2 linked regions of the Rattus norvegicus genome follow. The protein of the gene in region 1 interacts with the protein of each later gene in a biochemical or structural test. Links are inferred from orthologs where the notes say so. Each region holds a gene or a part of one and is shown on either strand. Other genes may lie near its edges.

What was found.
Region 2: the proteins of Atp7b (region 1) and Atox1 form a complex in vitro, tested with the Homo sapiens proteins (3 studies listed by BioGRID and IntAct). The link is inferred for Rattus norvegicus from reciprocal best matches to the Homo sapiens genes ATP7B and ATOX1.

The regions. Positions count from the first base shown.
Region 1 is NC_086034.1:76,702,902-76,706,724, forward strand, and holds part of Atp7b (copper-transporting ATPase 2), read left to right. Parts: intron 1-225; coding exon 226-400; intron 401-1,985; coding exon 1,986-2,219; intron 2,220-2,799; coding exon 2,800-2,891; intron 2,892-3,703; coding exon 3,704-3,823. UniProt on the Homo sapiens protein: Copper ion transmembrane transporter involved in the export of copper out of the cells. It is involved in copper homeostasis in the liver, where it ensures the efflux of copper from hepatocytes into the bile in response to copper overload.
Region 2 is NC_086028.1:40,077,505-40,082,072, forward strand, and holds the start of Atox1 (copper transport protein ATOX1), read right to left. Parts: upstream 3,058-4,568; 5' UTR 2,960-3,057; coding exon 2,954-2,959; intron 1-2,953. UniProt on the Homo sapiens protein: Binds and deliver cytosolic copper to the copper ATPase proteins. May be important in cellular antioxidant defense.

The DNA of each region.
Region 1 (3,823 bases):
GGGGGCTAGTTCTCATCTTTGGGGCCTCATTTGTTGTTCCTGCAAATTGGTGGCCACCAGCTTACTACGCAAAAGGCAGAACTGAGCCCAAGCAGCCTTTCAGCAATGCCTGGCCCTTCAGGTCACTGATAGCGTCAGGCGACCTCCCTGTTGTTTTAATCCATCTTTAATCTGATCCCAGTGCCAGGAGGTTCTGACGTCTGTGTGGCCGGCTTTACCTTCCAGGTGGAAGAAATCTTTCCTGTGCAGCCTGGTGTTTGGCATCCCCGTCATGGGCTTGATGATCTACATGCTAATCCCCAGCAGTAAGCCCCACGAGACCATGGTCCTGGACCACAACATCATTCCAGGACTGTCCGTTCTAAACCTCATTTTCTTCATCTTGTGTACCTTCGTCCAAGTATGTATTGGGAGGCCGGCTAAACCTGTCTGCCCTTGATGCCCAGGCATGGCTAATGGATCTCTGTTCTTTGGCTGTGTCAGCAGCCCTTTAGCCTGGCTCCAGTCATGGCAACTTTGCAGCATCACCTCTAGGGAGCTGCTGCTGCTGTTATTTCTGTCTTATGACCAGAGGGGAGGGCAGGGTAGAGGGGGGCTGCCAATGTGGGAACTAATAAGAAAGGCCGGGTTTCACAGTCACAGGTCATTGCGAGTGATTAAAACTTGTCAGAACAGCCACCCTCTCCTTGTCAGCTCGGTGAGCCTATCTGTCCCGTGTGTGTGTGTGTGTGTGTGTGTGTGTGTGTGTGTGTGTGTGTGTGTGTGTGTGTGAGTGTGTGTCTTACAAATGACAGGACTCAGGACCTCATACATGCCATACATGCTAGGCAAGTGTGCCATTGCTCAGTAATGCCTCGAGTCCTCGCTTCCTGATTGGTTTATTATTATTTTAGTTTTCCCTGTTGTCCCTGGAGCTCATGCTTCTGCTGACTGTTGTATCCTTAAAGGCAAAGCCATGGTCTCCGTCTCTGGATGAAGTTCTCTAAAGCAAGGAGGCTGTGTAGAACCTCTGTGCATGGATGGAGATACATGCGTGAGAATGTCTGCGTGTGCACTTTCTGACATGTGAAACTAGGACATTTAGGGGGTAACCGTTTGTAGGCTGGATTATTTTCCCTATATTTCCTTTTTAACTGAAAATGGGCTTTGTCCTTATTGTGAGCAATTTCACCAATACTGAAGCAAAGGGAAATGAACTCCAAATGATTACACTGACTGCCTCTGGCCCAGTCCTGTTCCTAGTACTGCTGCCACATCTTCAGGAGTTTCTCTCTCTCTCTCTCTCTCTCTCTCTCTCTCTCTCTCTCTCTCTCTCTCTCCCCCTCCCTCCCTCCCTCTCTCTCTTTCTCTCTCCCCCGCCCCATATCCCACCTTTGTACAGCAAACCTTTCTGTCTCTATCTCTGTCTCTCTATCTGTCTCTCTTTCTGTCTCTATCTCTGTCTCTCTATCTGTCTCTCTTTCTGTCACTATCTCTGTCTCTCTTTCTGTCACTATCTCTGTCTCTATGTATATATGTGTACATGTGTTTGCATGTGTGTGTATGCTTGTGTGTGAATGCGTGTTTGTCCTATACAGACACAGATGTCTGTTAATGGAGGTGGGGGCCACGTGAGAACACTAATGGATGCTGCCCCTCTTATTTGAGTTGCGGCCATATTTCGCATCACTGGCTTACCTTTAGAGACCATTCACGATGTAAGTGAATAGCATCATCGTCGTTACCATTCTCTTATTACAGACATTTCCATGGTATGTCTGCCTTCCAAACACCCCGTACCCTTGGTCATCCATTTCTGGGGGCAGTAGTACTCTGAATGGGGAAGTGTGTTTCATTGGAGGCTGAGGCAACGTGTGTGCCCATCACTATCAAATAATCATACAGAATAGAGTGGCATCAGCTACATACAAGAACCTAGAATACTCATTGTTCTGAGCCTGGATCTCCCCCCTCCTCAGCCAGCCCTCGCCCTCCCTGTCTTTCAGTTCCTGGGTGGGTGGTACTTCTATGTCCAAGCCTACAAATCGCTGAGACACAAGTCAGCCAACATGGATGTGCTCATCGTACTCGCCACGACCATTGCCTATGCCTACTCCCTGGTCATCCTGGTGGTTGCCATAGCTGAAAAGGCGGAGAAGAGCCCAGTGACCTTCTTTGACACACCCCCCATGCTCTTCGTCTTCATCGCCCTGGGACGGTGGCTGGAGCACGTGGCAAAGGTAGCTACAGCTTCCAGTTAAGGAAAGATCGGTACTTTCAGTAATCTGAGTCTTAGCCCAAGGGCAATGTGTGCTGAGAACTACTAATCACACACACTATAGCGAATGGCCAAGAGGAATCTGAACCCCCGTGTAATTAGGGGCCTGAAGTCACTAATCTCCCAGCTGGTTGCTCTTTCTGAAATCCCGGCTAATCTGGCTAATTAGTAAAACCTTTGTCCGGGTAATTGCGTGGTGGAACAAACTCTGAACTTAGCACCTAATGGATTGCAGTTAGTTAGTGTAGAAATCCACACTTCGGAGCGGGTGATGTTTTGCACTCTGCTGTGGAGCCTGTAGTGAGGGGGAAGGACATTATATTGAAGGTGAAAGGAAATGGCCCTGGGCAGACTGGGGTTGTGTTCATCCACAGTGGAATTCAAGCTCTGTGTCGTCAGCAGCGCTGGGCTGGCTCTGGTGCTGGCATGCACGGCTGCCTTAGTGGCACGGTTGTGGTTTTTACACCAGCCACCTTCAGCGCTATCCTCGTGAGTGTCAGCCTGGGTTTGGACCGACAGCTCTCATCCTGGTTATTTCCTAGAGCAAAACTTCAGAAGCCCTCGCAAAACTCATGTCACTCCAAGCCACAGAAGCCACAGTTGTGACCCTGGGAGAGGACAACTTAATCCTCAGGTACGTTGTGTCGATCGGTAGAGCTTGGGATCCTTTTGTATCACCTGTGTAGTGACAAGTGTCACCCTGAAGCCTGCATCAGCTGCTAAATGCAGTTGGACCAGTGATCTTTCTAAAGGTCTACATTGTAGTGTCTGTCTGTACTGCTGTGTAGTGGGATCCTTCAGCAGCTGCCTGCTTTCTTACGATAAAGTCTGTAGCCCTTGCATAGCAGTGGGACTCTGATATGAACTGTGCATGCCCCTCTTGAGTTTAGCCCCAGCCCTTGCTCACAGTGAGGCAAGTATAATCGTCCCCCAACACCCATGGCATTTGGCTCTAGGACCCTTGGATACCAAGTGCCTCATATGAAATGAAATGATATTTGCATAGAATTCACATCCTCCCACATACTTTAAACCATCATTAAAATAATTGTGATACATTTGCAATGCAAACGGAATGCAAATGGGTTTATCCTGTATTGTTTAGAGAATTTAGAGAGCAGTGATGCAAAAATATGTGTGTTGTGGATATAGACCGGTGACCCCTGCACCCCTGCCCTGTGTGTGTGTGTGTGTGTGTGTGTGTGTGTGTGTGTGTGTGTGTGTTGCTGGGGATGGGACCCAGGGCCTCCTACATGCTAAGCAAGTGCTGTACCACCAAGTTATATCCCCAACCCATCCCTGAATATTTTTGATGCAAGATTGGTTGTGTCTGCTAATCTAGAGCTCTTAGGTGCATAGGGCTTGCTAAAAAAGGTCCAATAGTCAGTCTAGAACCCACTCTAATTATAGACGAGGAGGATGTTATCCGAGTGTCTTCTGTTGCAGAGAGGAGCAAGTGCCCATGGAGCTGGTGCAGCGAGGTGACATCATCAAGGTTGTCCCTGGGGGCAAGTTCCCAGTGGACGGGAAAGTCCTGGAAGGCAACACCATGGCAGATGAGTCCCT
Region 2 (4,568 bases), on another chromosome or scaffold:
GAGTTTCCTGCAACCACTGTAACTCCAACTCTAAGGGAACTTCTGGTCTCTGCACACAAGTGGCGCGCACACACACACACACACACACACACACACACACACACTAAACCTAAAAGCTAGTAAGTAGTTAAGTAAATTATAATTACTTGTTTGCATGTGGGAGTGTGTCCCATGGCCTAAGTGTGGATGTCAGGGGTCACTGGGCTTGGCAACAGGGATCTTTACCAGCTGACCCATCCTGCAACCCTCAGGTCCCCTTTCTGCAGCATTTTTCTAGTTTGAAAAGAAAAGCATTCGTTTCCTTATGCTCAGGAGCCACTATGGTGGTGAGGTCATGTGTGCAAGGGTCCTAGGGAAGAGAGGCTTTCTTTGCTCCAGGCAACTCTCAGCACAGCCAGGTGTCCAGCTCCCACAACCTACTCTCAGAAGAAGCTCTGAAAGGGGATTTCAGAGGATAATTTTGCTCAAGGAGCTAAAGTCAATGGTTACCTGAGCTCCAAACTGAGGACCACAGCAAGAAAGGACTTCTTTCACAGTACAGAGGTCAGAGGCCAGGGATCCGCCCTAGGAGGCCAAAATTCCAACTCAGAGCTCCCTATCTCTGCCTACAAATTGTGCAACTAAACATGATGACGGAAAGCTGGCCTAAGGGACAGGGTGATCCAGTGTTCACAAGAGTATCCCTAGACCTGCTCCACCTTCTGGGTGTCTCCCTAGTGCCACTAGACCCCTTACAAAAGGATCCTTTAGGGTCTGAGTTTGAGGGTCAGTGGCAGAGCACATACAGGCCCTGGGCCCAACACCTAGCACCACAAAACAAAACTTTTAAGCTAGGTGTGGCCGCTCACTTCTATAATCCCAACCCTTGAGAAGCTAAGGCAGGAAGATTGCTCTGAGTTTAAGAATCATCCTGGGCTACGTATTCATTCATAGCCAGCCTGGGCTACAGTGATGCTCTGTAATGATAACAAACAAAATGAATCCTCTTAAGTATAATGTATATTAATGTTGTACTACATATTGTATTTATTAGTTCAGAAAGCCAGTAGGTAGTATGATTCTTTTACAGACTCTAGACCTGGAAGAGTAGGAATGGAGGGGGAAAAGAAGGGGGAGGAGGAGGAAGAAGAGGAGAATGACACTGTTCCTCTAGAGGATACTGAGTCTTTAAACACTGGTGTCTGGATTCCTGATTACTAGTATCTGCGCATCTCTGATGTGCTGGACCTTCTTCTAAACACCTTGTTACACTGTCTCCTTTAATCGCTACAATAATTCCACAAGCCAGGAAACTAATTCTTCTTTCTGAGAGGAGAAAGCTGAAGCTCTGGGATTAAGTACTGACCAGGGAGACACACCTCATGAGTAGTAGGTCCTAGGTTGGAGAGAGGACACAAAACTTGAACTTTTAACCAGTGAGGTCCAGGTTAAAATGAGGTAGAAGCCTGACTACTCAATTCTACCCCACTTGACCTACATCAACATGAGTCACTACTCCTTCAGGACAGATGGATCACTGGCTGTGTACGCATTTGATGATTTAATTCTAATTAATACCAACCTTAGTCCTAAAAGATCTGTTTTCAGCCCCTATTTTACAGATGAGGAGATAAAGACTCAGAGACAGAACAACTTGTCAGAGGCTGCCCAGTTGGCAACCAAGGGCAGACTTTCAGGTTTCTGGGTTAAGCTTTGGTCTACAAGTCGTCTTGGGTAAGACTTATTTCCCTGGCTAAATTGGAGGCAGCACTTGACCAACATCTTCCCGGCATTTAGCAGTTGGCTTGATGAGGTGCCCATTTGTCTCCCATTAAATCCTGCATCCCCAGAGGCAGACACAGAATGGAGAGGTCCTCAAGCTTTTTTCTTTCTTCACTGCTGCCCCCCCCCCCCCAAGAGCCTGGCAGCTTCCACTCTGGCATCCTAAGTTCATCAAGGAGTCTGTCACTTGGCAGGGCAGACTAGACAAACGTGCCTGGTAGGATGGACTTTATTAAGTTTTTTGTTTGTGCTTTGTGCAGCTAGGATCTGAAGACAAAGGGCAAGAACCACAAGAACCTGAGAGGTTTAAGAACCACAAGACACCTGAGAGGTTTAAGGATTCGTACCAGGAAGAAGCCTCAGGTTCATTCTCAGAAGTGAAGCTGCTAAAACATGGAATACTCCTGGGAGACCTCTGGGCTGAGAGACTGGGAGGAAAAGGCTCCCCACTCCATAGCTCTAGCCAGCATTCGGGAACTCAACTGAGATTAGACCTTGCCCCCAAACACGTACAACTGGTTTTGCCCAGCACTTCCCAGGTGGTCTGGCTTCAGGTTGGATCCTACCTAGCTTCCAACAATAAAATGCTTTCCCACAAGCACTGGGGTTTTTCTTTTCTTCTTGTGTAATGTGTTAAGGCCTCATGTAAGGTCGTCATTTAACTAAGCAAGGAGTGGGGTGAATTCAAAGGCAAGATAAGCACTGCTCTCGGTTCCTCAAACTCTGCTCAGAGCTTTGGGAACTCCTGGTTGGGAAGAAAGTACCCTGTCGAGTTAGTGTCGTCCAGTGCTGAGATGGAAGTACGCCAGAGTGGGCTGGAGAGGTGAACACAGACCTGCTTCTCTGGAAACCCATCAGCACGGCTGCAGGGGCATGCACGTGGAAAAGACAGGTACCGGCATCCCTATGTGGGTTCTGTGCCCCACCTCCCTGCCTCAGTTTTCCCATCATGCAGAAAAGGATGGGGCTGCCTCTTAAAGACTCTCTAGAGCGATCCGGAGGCCTATGTTCTGCATTAACATTGCTCTCTGCAGCTTTCCCGAGGGTCGCGAAGCTGGAGGACCGGTACGGAAGGTAAAGTGAGAAACGACCGCAGCTCTGGCTACGGCCTATGCCCTAACTGCTGCGTCTGGCCCGGAAACCGTGCATCAGGCCGGAGACAGAGGTTCCCGCGGGCCGAACGGCCACTCACCGGCATGACTGACGCGGCACAGGCGGCACAGGCGGCACAGGCGGCGGCACAGGCGGCGGCGAGGACTAGAACGCCTCTCCCGAACACCAAAGCGGCGTTTCCGGAGAGCGCTCCTGGAAGCCACGCCCTCAGGCCAACCCAGTCTTCGGCCGGGCCCCGCCCTAGGGATGGGCTCTACTTAGTCCCCGCCCTTTCCGGGGTCTAGCTTCCGCAAGGCCCCGCCCTTTGAGGAAGACTGTTCCGATCCCTTCGGTCCCAGTTACAGCCAGGCTCCTCCCTTGGGCTGGCTTCCACTTGGTTACCGCCCCTTTCTGACATGACTATTTCACTAGGTACCCCCTCTCTTCGGACCCGCCAGGCTCTTTGGGGCCAGTCGGAGGCTAATTTGTGGAGACCAGACCTGTACCTTCTACTGGGTCATTTCTGAAACAAGGTTAGGGAATGAGAGGCCAAGGCTCTAGGAATGAGGGATCTGGTATTTCCCTAAAGGGACCGTCTCTCTTGCTTATTACTCAGTCCCTAAACTACAGTTGCCTGGCCTAGGGCGGCAGGTCTGTTGACCCAGTTACTAGAGCGGCTGAGGTAGAAGGTTTCTAGGTTCAAGGCTAACCACAGCTGTAAAGTTCAAGGCCATTTTGGACTTCTTGAGACCCTTTCCTGAAAAACATATTTAAAACAAAACAAAACAAAACAAAACCAAATGTAAGTGTAAGGCACAGAGTAAATCAGTACACAACTCTAAAACCAGGTCTTGAAAAGTTGAGGGCCAAGTGGTGCCTTCAATCCCTGCCCTCTGGAGGCAGAGGCAGGCGGATCTCTGAGTTCAAAGCTAGCTTGATCTACAGTGCAAATTCCAGGACATCCAGGGCTATGTAAAAAAAAGAAAAAAAAATCTTGTCTCCAAACCAAACCAAACCAAAGCTGAGGGAGAAGGACCCAGAGGATCCAGAGTTCAAGGTGGCTGTGACCTTTAATTTCAGCACTCAGGAGGGAGCAATACCCACACAGACTTGCCTATAGGCCAATTGGATGAAACCAATTCTTCAGTTACAGTCCTTTTCCAAGATGACCGAGGCTTGTGTCAAGTTTATCAAAAAAGATCTAACCACTCTTATCCTAAGAAAAAACAAAACAAAACAAAACCTGGGAGACTGTGTCTTTCTCACCCAATTACGGCAGCCCAGTCGACCAAGTTACTTCATGGGTAATTGATACGCATGTAGAAGACGGGCTTCCTCGACAGTGCCAGAAGGACCAACAGATTAGATTTATCTCCTCCACCAGCCATTTGTGTCCTTGAGCTGAGGGCTAAGAGAAGTTCCCTAAACTAAGAAGGCAATCTGTCGTTCTGTGTGTCAGGATGGGTTCAGTCAGAAACTATACTAAAATTTGAATATAGAACTTATAAGAAGTTGGTTAACAGAAAAGTCTAAGAATCTAAGACTAGCTGGATGCAACGGGTGGGGATGGCGACACAGGTGTCTATAAACAACCCCTCCCCCTATTCTCTGGAGGCTGAGGCCAGGGAAGTCATGAATTGGAGGCCAGTCTGAACCTTAGGAAAACCTGTCTTAAATAAAATGAACTAAAATAAATGTAAGAACATAATAGCTAG